Linked DNA regions of Callithrix jacchus. The protein of the gene in region 1 purifies or fractionates together with the protein of each later gene. This does not show direct contact. Links are inferred from orthologs where the notes say so. Each region holds a gene or a part of one and is shown on either strand. Other genes may lie near its edges.

Evidence for each region. Proteins that work in one complex are often made in the same cells at the same time.
Region 2: the proteins of PPP4C (region 1) and PPP2R5D purify together in Homo sapiens (affinity purification with mass spectrometry; 7 studies listed by BioGRID and IntAct, with this or other methods). This does not show direct contact. The link is inferred for Callithrix jacchus from reciprocal best matches to the Homo sapiens genes PPP4C and PPP2R5D.
Region 3: the proteins of PPP4C (region 1) and PPP2R2D purify together in Homo sapiens (affinity purification with mass spectrometry; 3 studies listed by BioGRID and IntAct, counting the BioPlex papers as one, with this or other methods). This does not show direct contact. The link is inferred for Callithrix jacchus from reciprocal best matches to the Homo sapiens genes PPP4C and PPP2R2D.

The regions. Positions count from the first base shown.
Region 1 is NC_133513.1:29,442,712-29,447,373, forward strand, and holds the start of PPP4C (serine/threonine-protein phosphatase 4 catalytic subunit), read right to left. Parts: upstream 3,254-4,662; 5' UTR 3,169-3,253; intron 2,944-3,168; 5' UTR 2,880-2,943; coding exon 2,782-2,879; intron 1-2,781. UniProt on the Homo sapiens protein: Protein phosphatase that is involved in many processes such as microtubule organization at centrosomes, maturation of spliceosomal snRNPs, apoptosis, DNA repair, tumor necrosis factor (TNF)-alpha signaling, activation of c-Jun N-terminal kinase MAPK8, regulation of histone acetylation, DNA damage checkpoint signaling, NF-kappa-B activation and cell migration.
Region 2 is NC_133505.1:51,474,023-51,478,917, reverse strand, and holds the start of PPP2R5D (serine/threonine-protein phosphatase 2A 56 kDa regulatory subunit delta isoform), read right to left. Parts: upstream 3,188-4,895; 5' UTR 3,099-3,187; coding exon 3,072-3,098; intron 1-3,071. UniProt on the Homo sapiens protein: The B regulatory subunit might modulate substrate selectivity and catalytic activity, and might also direct the localization of the catalytic enzyme to a particular subcellular compartment.
Region 3 is NC_133513.1:125,239,021-125,243,756, reverse strand, and holds the start of PPP2R2D (serine/threonine-protein phosphatase 2A 55 kDa regulatory subunit B delta isoform), read right to left. Parts: upstream 3,188-4,736; 5' UTR 3,109-3,187; coding exon 3,033-3,108; intron 2,885-3,032; coding exon 2,787-2,884; intron 1-2,786. UniProt on the Homo sapiens protein: Substrate-recognition subunit of protein phosphatase 2A (PP2A) that plays a key role in cell cycle by controlling mitosis entry and exit. Involved in chromosome clustering during late mitosis by mediating dephosphorylation of MKI67.

The sequences.
Region 1 (4,662 bases):
CGAGACGAGGTTTCACCATGTTAGCCAGGATGGTCTCAATCTCCTGACTTTGTGATCTGCCTGCCTCGACATTCCTAAATGCTAGGATTACAGGCATGAGCCATGGCACCTGGCTGTCATTATCATTTCAAAAAATGAGAAAGTGACTTGACCAGGGTCATACTGCTTCTAGGTGACAAGGCACAGATCCATACTGAAGACCACCTGATTCAAAAGCTCAGCTCTTCTACTGTACTAATATTTCTAGTAGCAGCAACTTCAGCTCAGACACTGCAGGCCTCTGTGCTTCCATGGGTTTCATCTACATGTCTGTGCCCTGTGGGCAAGCAGGTGCTCCTAACACTACCTGCCTCAGCCTGGGTCTCTGGTGGGTCCTCAGGAGGCCTTGGTCAGGTATCAGAGCTGGCCCCACTTCAGAACTGAGCCCAGGACAACAGTGACCAACTCAGGCCTTGGCCTAGTACCTCCTAGCTCCACTCAGTTTCAACTGGGCAGGACTCTCCACCCGTTAGCCTTCCACAGCTCTCTGCTGCCTCACACCCCATATGAAAATCTAAATGCCTCCGCCTGGCTCTCAGTGACCACAGAGCACAGTCAAAAACCTGCATGCACAACTAACTTCCCCTCCAACTAGCTGCACGATGTTGGACAAGACATTATCTACTCAGAGGCTGTTTCTTCTTCCACGAAATGGGGTTAAGTACTCAGCCCCGTCATGCCTACTCCTTAGGCTGTTACAAGGAGCCATGGAGACTGAATATATAACTTCCTCCTATTCTGCAAACTCCAGCATGCTATCCAAGCATTATCTACCATCGCCACCACACTGATCCAAGGCCTGCGCAGGAGATAAGACTTCAGAGGAAAAGAATAGTGCCAGACAACAACAGGTTTAAGTTCCTAAAAATGCCCATCAGGACTGAGGGAGAGGGGACAATTAAAAACACGGTGGGGCAGGTCTGGTCAGGGACGTTTCCTTCAGCTGGCAAAAGAGAAAAGCCACAGACAGGGTGAAAAAGAGGCCCACCCTGCTCACGATCCCCTCAGAGGCCCTGTCTGGCTGCAGGGAGTCTGTGAGGTGGGGCCGAGCAAAAAGCCTGGGGGCCACAGATTCAGAACTGAGCTCTGCCATGTCCTCAGTGGGTGACCTCAGTCAAGTCACCAGGCCTCTACGAGTCATGGTTTCCTATTCGGTAAAATGGAGCAAATGATTCCAACCTCTCAGGATTGCTGGGAGGAAGAGACGAATAGACGTTTTTTCGCCAGTACAGGGCCAGGCCAATAGTGGGTGTATAGTTCAATAAACATAGGGTAATTCTGCGGGCTCTTCTGCCGCAATTCACCAGCCTGGTAGAAGTCACAATCACACAGTTCCCCAGAGAAGGCAGGTAATTAATTAAACCCCTGACTGTTCCTCACACTCTCAGGGCCTCCAATGCTACACTTGTCCTGCTTGGAATGCCCTTCCCTCACTGGTCCTGCCTGTCAGCTAGCCAAATTATCTTCATCCTTCAAGGTCTACCTCTATTTAGTAGCCTTCCCTGATGGCTTTAGCCCATCTCATCGTTGCCCTCATCCAAGAGAAATAGAACACCTAGTGACTATCAAGCATGTATGCTGTACCAAGACACTGTGCTAAACTTAAGCAGCAACTCACTGAATTTTCACAACCATCTTATTAAGTACTATTAACTCTGCTTTGCAAGTAAAGACACCTTAAGATCACTAACACAACTAGTAAGTGGCAGAGTTCAGATTCAAACCTAGAGCCATCTCACACTCCAAAACCTAGAGCCTTAGGTCATCCTACTTCCCACAGAACTTTAAACTGGCCTTCCTATCATGCTTAATTCTTTTTTTTTTTTTTTTGAGATGGAGTTTCACTGTTGTTACCCAGACTGGAGTGCAATGGCACGATCTCGGCTCACTGCAACCTCCGCCTCCTGGGTTCAAGCAATTCTCCTGCCTCAGCCTCCCGAGTAGCTGGGACTACAGGCGTGCACACCACCATGCCCAGCCAATGTTTGTATTTTTAGTAGAGACGGGGTTTCATCTTGTTGACCAGGATGGTCTCAATCTCTTGACCTCGTGATCCACCTGCCTCGGCCTCCCAAAGTGCTGGGATTATAGGCGTGAGCCACCACGCCCGGCCATATCATGCTTAATTCTATCCTGGCTTACTTGCTACGATTTCTCAGGGTCCCATCCTGAATGTGAGTGATCCAAATCCACCTTCTTGCATTATGGCCTGAAAAAGGACAGGACACTAAGAACTGGCTTCAGACTCCACTCCTTACTTGTGGGTAACTTTGAACATGACAGTCCTCACCTGTAAAATGAGTACAATACGCCAACCTTTATGGGTGGTTGTTGGAATTCAGACTTTTATAAATCACAGCGTCTTTAACCTTCCTGTCTTAAACCTTTGTTTTGTTGCTGACTCTTTTACCAACTCCTTATTCGAGGCCTGTCTCACAGTTCGCCACCCACCCCCAGAAGCTTCTGTCCCCCAGACAGATGGGCTTGTTTCCCTTGGTTTCCTAAGTACTTTACGTAACACTCTTACTCCACTGGAAACACATCTTCTAATACTTTAAGTGTCTTTATCCAGCTGTCTTCCCCCAGCAGGCTAGCTCTTCCTCGAGCGCAGTGGCCCCATCCCGTTCCTCTCTGGGAAAGCTTCCAGGAAGGGGCAAGCCCAAAATTCTCAGTTGGGTTTGCCCCAGGCCAGAACCCGTGGGCGGCGGCTTGGCCTCCCTTCCGTGGGGCCAACGGGCTCACCTGGCCTTAGCGCACAGGGCCTTGACTTCGCTCTCCTTGATGAGCTCGCAGCGACGCAGCTGCTCGATCTGCCGGTCCAGGTCGCTGATCTCCGCCATGGCCCACCCCCCGGCGCGGGTCAGAGTCGGGGCCACCGCCCCCTCCGCACCGCACAGGGGTCTCCTGGGAAAGGCCAAGACAAGCCCGCGGATTAGAGTGTCCGTGAGGGGCGAGGAGCGGACAACTGGATTCTAGGGCCAGCCCGGCCCCACCCCCACCCCCGCCTCCCTTCACATCGGCCCCGGGACCCCCCCAGCGTCCCACGGCCTGGCCGGACCCCCACTAACTCCCGTCGAATCCCACGGTTCGCGCTAAGGACGGTGGCCTAGAGGGGTCTCGCATTATTACCGCCGCTGCGACTCCGGTTCCGGCTATGGGGCGCTTCCTGCCTCCCGACTTCCCTCCGCTTTGGGCCGCCGCCGCCGCCGCCTCTACTTCCGGCCCCGCCGCGGAAGCAAAGGGAAGCCAGTTCCGCCGCGCGCCGGATGTGGCGTCATACACGCTCCTCACCCTCCCTCCTCGCGCCCCCGGCACCACTTCCCAAGTCTGAAATCGGGAAGGAGCGGGAGTAATCCGGTGGCAGCTGGAGGCCAGCGGAAGTGTTTGTGGGCTCAGCCGCAGGTGATGTTGGGCTGTTAGAAACCCTAGACCAGTCCCCTCCCATTTCATTTTATAAAAATGTTTAAATTTAGACAACTTTCTTTTTTCTTTTTGAGACGGAGTTTGGCCCTTGTTGCCCAGGTTGGAGTACAATGGCGCGATCTAGGTTCACCGCAACTTCCGCCTCCCGGGTTCAAGCGATTCTCCTGCCTCAGCCTCCCGAGTAGCTGGGATTACAGGCATGTGTGCCACCACGCCTGGCTAGTTTTCTTTTTTTTTTTTAAGACGGGGTTTCACCATATTGGTCAGGCTGGTCCTGAACTCCCGACCTCAGGTGATCCTCCCGCCTTGGCCTCCAAAGTGCTTGGATTACAGGCGTGAGCCACTATGCCCGGCCTAGTTTTGTATTTTTAGTAGAGACAGGGTTTCTCCACATTGGTTAGGCTGGTCTCAACCTCTTGACCTCAGGTGATCCTTCCGCTTAGGCCTCCCAAAGTGCTGGGATTACTTTGGGTTCATGGGCGCGTGAACCACTGCGACCGGCCACAACTTTTATTTTTTTCTAAATTAGAGATAGTGTCTTGCTCTCTTGCTCAGGCTGGAGTCCAGTGGGGCGATCATAGCTAACTTCAATCTCGAACTCCTGGGCTCAAGCGATCCTCCCTCTTCGGCCCCCCAAAGTGCTTGGATTACAGGCCTCAGTCACCACGCCTGGTCATCCCCATTTCAGCTAGGGAAACAAGTCGAGCTGGGACTAGGCCTTGTAACTTTATGTTACACTTTTTTAAGTTACACATTTTTGTTATTTATCCGACACCACAATCCTTGGAGGATCCAACTTTGTCTTTTTCAATATTGAAGCCCCAGTGCTTAGAATAAGGCCTGGCATGGTAAGCATTTAGAAATACTTGTTAATACATAGAAATACTTAATACTTGTTCAATGGATGAAGGAAGCCCAATTCAAATCTCTTCCGGTGCCTTCAGAGAAATCTTTGCCATTGACAGCTTCAGAAGTTAACAAATTGGAGTCCACCTTTCCTATGCCAAGCCTGTATCTCAGTCAGCATGATTTCTGTGATTCCAAAATGTTCCCCTTAACATTTCTTAGTTGCTTTTTCTTTCTTTCTTTTTTTTTTTTCGAGACAGTCTCACTCTTTTGCCCAGACTGGAGTGCAGTGGTACAATCTCGACTTACTACAATCTCCACCTCCCAAGTTCAAGCAATTCTCCTGCCTCAGCC
Region 2 (4,895 bases), on another chromosome or scaffold:
ATATCTTTTAAAGAATGTGCCTAAGAGAGATCCAGCTGCCTTAGTGTGTGGGTGTGAGTGGGCGTGGAGGAACCAGGCCCACCAGCCTTGCTCCCTGGCTCTTGCAGAACAGGTGAAGCACATACACTTCAGCCCAGCTCAGCAGTCAAGTGCTGTGTGGCACAAAGGTTAAAAGAACATGTTTGCAGCCAGCCCTGTGTTTTGGGCCCAGCTCTTACTAGCTATATAATCATAGGCAAGTTTACTAGCCTCTCTGAGCCTCAGTTTCCTCATTTATTAGACGATGACAATCACAGTACCCTCTTCCCTCAGCACAGTGTTAAGGCACATGAAAATCCTGATGCTGGTCAATGCTATTACTATTATTATGAACAAGAAAAAAGTCGGAGGAGTCAGGGACACCCTACTGAAGAAAATAAAAGAGCTAAGTACCAGAGGAAAACAAGAAGGAAGGGGGAGATGCGAATTCCTCAAAGAGATTAGCTCAGCACCTATCCGCTAAGCACCTACTGTGTGAAAAGGAGTTGCTAAACCAAAACGAAGCTTAGTTATTATCTCAAGGGAAGAAAAGGCTTGTCCACAATTAATTCCCATCCAAGGCCAAACACAAAAGGACCATAAGTGGCCTACTAAGTGTTCTGCAAATCCAGAAGAGAAGGGAGAGCTCACTCCTGACTGACAGCTCAGAAAGACTTTAGGGAAAAAGCTGTAAAAGATGGCCAGGAGAGAGGGGACAGGTGATAGATGAGGAATAAAGATCATCCACCCACCCCCATCCAGGCAAACCTCAGTCACACTGTCAACCCCCCACCCCCCAGAGCTTGCCAACCACTGAAGAAGTCCAAATGCAGCTGAAAATCAAGAGCAGAAAAACCTTATAGGGAGGTGAGAGTGATGCCTGGCTCCATGCACCCTGATCCTTCCAACACCCTTTCCCAACCGAACGCTTACACTCCTGGTCCTAACAAGTCTAACTGGGAATTTGTTTTCTTCTTCACAATCTAGTAGGCTAAAGTTTTCTGTGGATGGGACAGTATATAGTCCATCAGACTAAAAACTACAAATGGGTGGGGACCTCACCAGCTTTCCCTGGATTCCATTTCCCTTAGCCCCTGGTGTGGCTGATTTGTGTGTGCATTGTCTACAATTAAGCTACCCAAACCATCTCTGCATGCCCACTCCCCAAGGACAGGGCCTGGGTGGGACACACAACCCTATCCAGCTCACTACCCCTAGGAGGTTCACCATCTAGCACACCATCACCAACCCTGTACTCAGTGCCTCAGGCCCTGAAAGGTTAAGGGGACAACCCAGAATCAGAGCTGCCTGGCAAATACAGAACAGCCCTGGAAGAAAAAGTTTGAAAAGGTCATAGATGGCAGCCCAGTAACCCAGTCAATCAGAGGGCAAATGAATATACCTCTGGGGTCATCAAGCAAGAGGCCAGAACATGAGACTAGAGCCAGCCCCCACCATAAAGGGCCAGCCCCAGGAGAGGAGAAGCTGGGGGAGGCTGGACCTGGTATCCTAGCATCCTCTGTGAGACTGTACCTCAAAGGAACCACACCTCTGAGTCAGACCTCAGCAACAGCAGGAAACAGAGGGTAGAAAAAGGCACAGATGAGGAACAGGGGAAGGCGGCACCGAGGTAGAAGAGAAAGGTGAAAGAAGGCACCATTAAGAAATGGCCTGTGGGCCAGGGCTGGGGGCTACCCTCTGTAATCCCAGCACTTTGGGAGGCCGAGGCAGGCAGATCACCTGAGGTCGGGAGTTCAAGACCAGCCTGACCAACATGGAGAAACTCCATCTCTACTAAAAATACAAAATTAGCCAGGCATGGTGGCACACGCCTGTAGTCCTAGCTACTCAGGAGGCTGAGGCAGGAGAATTGCTTGAACTGGGGAGGCGGAGGTTGCAGTGAGCCGAGATCATGCCGTTGCACTCCACCCTGGGCAACAAGAGCAAAACTCTGTCTCAAAAAAAAAAAAAAGAAAGAAAAAGAAATGGCCTGTGTCAGGACATCATGACAAAGACCAAAGACATGGGTGTCCAGGGGTAGCTGGCCTGCAGGCTAAGAAGGAATAATAATCTGACGGGGAGGACAAATTCCCAATTTGAAGATGGTGCAGCTCAGGAAAGGCAGAAATCCAGCACTGGTGCAAAAAAATAAAAAGGAAGAATGCAAAGGTTATCCTAGGATTAGGAATAAGGGGAAGAGCCTACTCAGATTAGGAAAGGTGACTGGTCTAGGATGTACCTGGAGCCAGTTAGGAGGGCTTTGATAGAAAAGAGGCCTTTAAGTCAGGAGACCCGATATTGCAGCTGGGCCTCTAGCAGGCTGTGTGACCTTGGACAAGTCCCTTGCCCTGTCGGCACCTCAGTCTCCTCATCTGTACCATTAGGGATTGCACTGCATGCGCTCAGAGGTCCCTTCCAGCACTGATGTTCTGAGGTTCCATCAACATAAGGGCTCAGTCCTGCTTACAAGTTTGTGTGTGAAGGAAGAACTAGAGGGAGGGGCCAAGGCCAGATTTGGGTGGAGGAGAGAGAAAGCAGCGCTGTTCTAGGTCAGGGGCTTGGCATGGAAAGAGAAGGGGCCGTAGGGGACTGTGGGGCGGCTGTCCCAGGCGGGTAGGAAGAGGAGGAAAGGGGCTGTTCAGGGCGGGGGGAGGGGGCAATTCTGGAAGGAGGTGCAGTTTCAGATGAGGGGCTGCCTAAACCGATGGGAGATCGGGGCCAGGGGTGATGGGGGGACAGAAAAAGCAGGACAGTGACCTGAGAATGGGGCGAATCTGGAAGAAGGAGGTTACCCTGGGCCGGGGGTAAGAGCAGGGAAGAAGGGAGGAAGGCGTATGTGGGGGGAGTCTCTCCGGGGCAAGGATGGGGAGCTGTCCTAGCCGCGGCACAAGCTGGGGGTGCTGCCAGCCGCGGGGGCGGAGGGCTGGCCCCAGGAGTCCTGCGGGGGCCGGACGGGAGGGTCAGTCTGGGGCTGTCCCGGGCCTGGCTCTGGCCCCTCCCAGAGCTCCGCGCAGGCTCCAAGGCGGCGGTGCGGGAAAAAGGGCCACGCTCACCTTCTCCTTTTTCAGTTTATAGGGCATCTCGGCCCGTCCGGACCCGGCCCGTCTCCTGCGGCCCCGCTCCGGCTCCGGCTTGCCTCGGCCGCACTCGGCCCGTTCGGCGTCTCTTCGCCACCGCCTGCGCGCTGCGCCCGGGTCGAGCGGTGCCTGCGCCTCCAATTGGCCCGAACTCCTACAAAACTGCCTGACAACCAGGCGCCGCCTCCTCGGATTGGTCATTGGAGCCAAGCTGCTTCCTTTTTTTTCTCATTGGAAAGAAATAGTACAAACCGCCAGGGTTCTGCTATCAGAATTGGCTGAAGTGGGTGGTCCCGCCCTAAAGTGGGTCGAGCTTAGCGAAGGAGGCGGGGCTAAGGGAAAACCCAAGCTTGGCTAGGAGTGCTGCACTTCAGCGTCCGCTGTGCGTCGTCCTCGGCCATTCTTTGCGGGGCTGGGAGCTCTGCTCTTTCCTTCTAAAGTGGCTTTCACACTTTGTTCACTCTGCTACCCTGCCCAGTTCGAAGTGGAGGAAGGAAGCCCTAATACGGAGGGCACCTTTCTTCACTGGGGTAAAGTAGCCCTAATTGCAGATGCAAAATTGGTGGCGGAAGCTCCCAAGGACCTTCCAAGACACCCGCCTCCCTAGACAGGAGTTGCAGAGGAGCAAAGGGAAAGCCTGGCAGGGCTAGGACCTGGGCGAAATGAGATGAAAATCTCTGGTTTGGTGCAACTTTATGAAGAGGGTCCCCGTTCCTACTGCAAGTGTACTGGAATTGGAGAACAAGGTAGGTTTGAGCAGTTGGGAACGCAGTGGAAAAGCAACTTAAATTGTTGAGTGTCTCAGGAAATCCATCCCTTACTTGCCACCCTGCCCAAGCCAATGCTCTAATGGTTAAGACTCTGTTCATATTCACAAGGAGTTCGAAGGCTGGTGAATCACAGACGTGTATAAACAGGATTAAGATAGAATGTAAGCCAGGCAGGCACGGTGACTGTAATCCCAGCATTTTGAGAGGCTGAGGCACGCGGATCACCTGAGGTCAGAAGTTCGAGACCAGCCTGGCCAACATGGCGAAAACCCCACCTCTTATTAAAAATTAAAAAATTGGCCAGGCGCGGTGGCTCATGCCTGCAATCCCAGCACTTTGGGAGGCCAAGGTCAGCAGATCACGAGGTCAGGAAATTGAGACCACCCTGGCTAACGCAGTGAAACCCGTCTTTACTAAAAATACAAAAATTAGCCAGGCATGGTGGCACCCACCTGTAGTCCCAGAAACTCGGGAGGCTGAGGCAAGAGAATTGCTTAAACCCAGGAGGCAGAGGCTGCATTGGGCCAAGATCGCACCATTGCACTCCAGCCTGGGCAATAGAGTGAGACTCTGGCTCAATAAATAAATAAATGCATACATACATATAAAAATTAGGCCGGGTGTGGTGCCTCACACCTGTAGTCCCAGCACTTTGGGAGGCTGAGGCAGGCGGATCACCTGAGGTCAGGGGTTCGAGACCAGCCTGACCAGCATGGAGAAACCCCATCTCTAAAAATACAAAATTAACCTGGTGTGGTGGCACATGCCTGTAATCCCAGCTACTCAGCAGCCTGAGGCAGGAGAATAACTTGAACCCGTGAGGCAGAGTGAACCAAGTCGTGCCATCGCACTCCAGCTTGGGCAACGAGAGTGACACTCTGTCTCAATAACAACAATAACAAAATTAGTCAGGTATGGTGGTGCATGCCTGTAATCCCAGCTACGTGGGAGGCTGAGACAGGAGAAACACTTGAACCTCGGAGGTGGAGATTCCGGTGAGCCTAGATCACACCACTGCAGTCCTGCCTGG
Region 3 (4,736 bases), about 96 Mb from region 1:
GCTCCCACCCCAGTGACCCCTCAGCCTTCTCCAACACTCTGCACCCTCGCGGCGTTCCACTGGGTCTAGGGAGAGGAATTCTCGAGGAAGCCTTGCTGGGACGGAGGCAGGAGAGAGCAGGAGAGTAACAAATAGGAAAAGGAGGATGAAGAAAGCACACTCTCTTTTTGGACATGCTGATTTCTGATGTAACGTGACTCCTGGGGCCAGAGCTGAGCCTGGAGGGCAGGGGGCTACAGAGCCACAGCCTTACATAAATTCTGTGTGCCTTAGTTTTACCAGCCGGGCTTCCCTGTAAGACGTAATGTGCACAGAAAAACAAGAAAAACTTGAAACTCAAGGTGCTAAGGTGCTTCCTGCCTCGCTTTTGGCACAGCCAGGACCTCCCACCAGGGCCCCATGGACCCGATTCCTTACCTAAGGCCTGCACCTTCCACAGTCTGGTGGGGCACTCACTATCCCTCAGAATCCTCCACGCCCCATCCACTTGAAGATGCCCACGCTGACACCTCTGAACCTTGCCGCAGCTTCTAACTGGGAGCGGGGTCGCTTAGGGCAGCAGCTTCCTCCTCCTAGCGCCTGCACCTCCATCAGTGGCCTCCCTGACCATGGACGAAAATGCGCACTGACACCCTCACCCACACAAGAAGCACGCAGGTCCACAGTGAGAGTCACACGTGGCAACCGACAAAACGGTCTAAAAGTAGATGGAATATGAAAGCCTCTCACGGGGCAACCAAAACACGAAGAAAAAGAAAAAATCCTGCCTGGGCTTTATCAAGCTACAGCTGCTAGGTCTATTCAACAGCTTCAGCAGGAACTTGCTCCTGTAAAAATCCGCCACTCACATAACAATACATCTTAATACATCCTAAATCAACACTCAAATCTCTAGACTACCCAATGTATTTTAGAACAAGGTGCCTGACTTTTATCAGGGTCTGTTTTGTATTTGAGAATCATTTAGGTTAAGTAATTGTTCACAAAAACAAGAGAAATTCCATTTTCTCTGTTAAGATCCGTCAGGCAAGGATGAGGCATCTCCCATAAGGCTATGGCTACGAAGGCAGACTTTTTAAAGACACTAAAAGTTAAGTCTCACATTAAGACAGCCACAACTCAGCAATCTGTTAAAAAAACCCTCCTGCAAAGAGTAATATGTACACACCACCACCCATTTTTTACTTCCCTTGAAAAAGGTAAAGTATTTGGTTCTTTTTTTTTTTTTTTGAGACTGAGTCTTGCTCTTGTTGCCTGGGCTGGAGTGCAGTGGGGTGATCTCAGCTCACCCCAACCTCTGCCTCCCGGGTTCAAGCAATTCTCCTGCCTCAGCCTCTTAAGTAGCTGGGATTACAGGCATGCGCCACCACACCTCGCTAATTTTGTATTTTTAGTAGAGATGGGGTTTCTCCATGTTGGTCAGGCTGGTCTCGAACTCCTGACCTCAGGTGATCCACCCGCTTTAGCGGATTCAAAGTGCTGGGATTATAGGCATGAGCCACCATGCCCGGCCAAGGTGTATGGTTCTTAAGTAGCACTGTGCGATATTCTACTTCTGAGATAAGAATGCAAAATTATAAATATATCAAACTGTGAAGATTTAGCAAGATTAATGATAGTATAGTTATTATTCACAAAAGGATTTCTTACCATCTCAAATTAGAGAAAACAGAATTAAAAGAAATCTTTAATGACATGGACATAATCAAAATTAAAGCTGCAAGAGTTCTGTTTTGAACTGAAATCGGTTAGCACCGTCCATGCTCCCCATGTGGCAGCCAGCGCCTCCAGTTCTGGCCAGTCCTCCAGGCTCCCCGTCCTGGGGTCGGGGCCAGTGCTTCCAGTGTACAGAAGCTCTGCAAAGAGGGGAGCAAGGGCCCACCAGCCTCTAAACCACAGCTCAGCACACAAATGCAGAGACTAGACTTTGGAGGCGAGAAACTGTCCCTTTCATCTGTCAGGGAACTCAGAGACAGAAAGGGCAAGGGACCGTATTTACACTCTGTTAAGGAAAAGTCAGGACAAGTATTTCAGACCCCAGGCCTGGCTGCACCGAGGTTCCTGAGGTTCCTGCTGGAATCCTTCCCTAACAAATAATGATCTCGCTTCCTTGATCATCGATCCTCGCTCACTAGGGCCTCTGAGGCTCACCAGTAAGAGGGAGGGGCTGGCAAGGCATCAGTGGGAAGGAAGTGCTACGACCTACAAGCCAGTGCTCAGGAGCTGTGGGCTCCTCCAAGGCCCACTCGGAAGGTTCCCTTCCCTCTGGACAGGCAGCCTTCAAGGGGGCATGCAAGAGTGAGTGCTGCTCACCTCTCCCTGAAGGGAAGAGAGAATTTACACAGCCCCACACTTCTCTGCAGGAAGTGCTGAGAGTTGCTCGCAGCCAGTGTCCCACAGAACACTCTTCTACCTCACTGCAGGGCAGGGCAGCGGGACCGGGCCAGCAGCTGCACAGGCATAGGAAGGGATTTTCTGAGAGCTCCCTGAGTTATCGTGGAATGAAAACACATAAATACACATCACCACCATCCTGCAGCCTGCATGTGGTCCCCTCTGGAGTCTCCTCCCTACTCTAAAGACAAAGGCCTTGGCGACTTCCTCGGGGCTCAGCAGCTGAGGCCAGAACTTAGATAATTCCTGAAAGGAGATTCTGTATGGCTGATGCAATGGAACTGAAGCTTAATGAAATGAGACAATGAGAAAATAATTTTGCTTCCTCACTTCTAAGTTACGTGAGAAAGGCTGAATGGTCACATTTGGTTTGCGGACTGAAAATTACTGACCTCTTGTTCACGCTGAAAAATAACAACTCTGCCGCCCTTGTCTCCTGTTGCAAGAAGATCTCCAGAGTAATTAAATTCAACGGTGGAAATGATGTCCGCTGTCAACAGAATAAGAAGCGATTTACCAGAGGAGGTCTGAGGGGGATCACAACACCAAAACAGCAATCAAAGGCTCAAAACAAAGATAAGACATACACGACGTTCTCCCAGAATCAAGCAAAATTGTCATGGCAAACTTGTAATTACCAAGTGGCCACTTCTTGGTCCTGGCGCTGAGAACCTGCCAGCACATATGAATGTGTGAGTCTGACTCCACCTCCATGCCTGGCCCCTGCCGCACCAGGATTTATCTAGACTGGACTGTCTTGATGAAGGGACAAAGGGTAGAAATTTAGAAAATTCACTGCTACAAGAAAGAGGAAAAACATGGTCCTGAAGAACGCTGACTGATTTTATAATGCATACCTAATGTCACCTTCTAAAATAAATCCGATGCGTTTACAATAGGAATACAAAGGTTTTAATGTTCTATGCAGTAACTTGTGTTGGCTTCTGTACATTACAGTATCATGGACAGTAGAAGCTCCATGTCATCATCGTCTGGAGACAGTCACCACCATTGATGACAACATCACCAAGTGAGACACTGTCGGGGCCCCTGAGATCTCTGACACCGCAACAAAGACCCAGACCATGGGGCAGACGGAACAACAAAACTCAGCTGTGCAAAAGTGCTCAGGCACCCTGGGCTAACCCTTTGGGCTGGGAGGGGAGTATCTGGATTTATGACAGACTATTAAATTGAAAAAACCCAGGTCTATGATTTGGACAAAAATTTGATATTTTCAGGAAGAGTCTGGAGGAAGCTGGCTTCTCTAAAGTGCCCCTGTGTCCTGTGCTGACTGACAAGCACAAGGCCTGGCGAGGCCTCCGAGGGGAGGGGTCGGTCGGGGCTCATCCTACAGCCATGGCGGGACTCGCCTTACCCTGCAGTGTGGGGTGTCTCAGGAACAGTGAGATCACTACAAGTTCACTCCCCTGCTGGGCACCAACTCATGGGCTCGCCGTGACTCTCCGCGCTCCCAGGGCCCACAGTATCTTTATAGTAGGAAGAAAAAACTACTAAATGGCGACTGTAAACAACCCACTTACTAATCAGAAATGGACCTGCAACTACTTGAGAAAGTCCCCCACAAGCGGAGATACTAGAATGCAACTCGCAAAGGTCTGCACAGGCGTTTTAATCATGTTTATAAAGGCTTTCCACCAGCATCTGCACAACTGGGGCACTGACTTCACACGGGAATCCCTGGCCTGGGATTTCTTTCTTTTTAAAAATCTTCAGACTTTGGGAGAGGATGAGGCTGCTTCTTAGAAGCATCACTATTAAATTACTGAAAATAACCTACCTTGCTTACGTGAAGCTGAAATATTCTGAATTGGATTAAAAAGGTCTAAATCGATGTAATTTATACCCATAGGGTGTATAAAATTACATGATTAATGGTATTCTAGTTCTGTCAGTGATTTTCAAACTTAATTAAAATGGACTGAGTCTTTTAAAAGAGAAACTTCCGTAACTGTCAGGGCTGAGAAGTTTCATTCAGCAAACATGCGTGAACCTGAAACGAGAAACACTGCAGGGCTCAGACAAGCTCTGAACCCAAACTAAATACACAAAGTCACAAAACCAACAGAGTTAAAATTATCAGCATCAAATTCATCCAATGGAGACAGTTTTTAAAAAAACAAACTGATGCTAAAGCATAAATATGGCACGAAGGGCACCAAGTCAGGTATTTCTTTGTTTTTTTTTGAGACAGAATCTCGCTCTGTTGCCCAGTCTGGAGTGCAGTGGTGCCACCTTGGTTCACTGCAACCTCCATCTTCTGGGTGCACGTGCTTCTCATGTCTCAGCCTCCAGAGCGGCTGGGGTTATAGGCGGGCGCC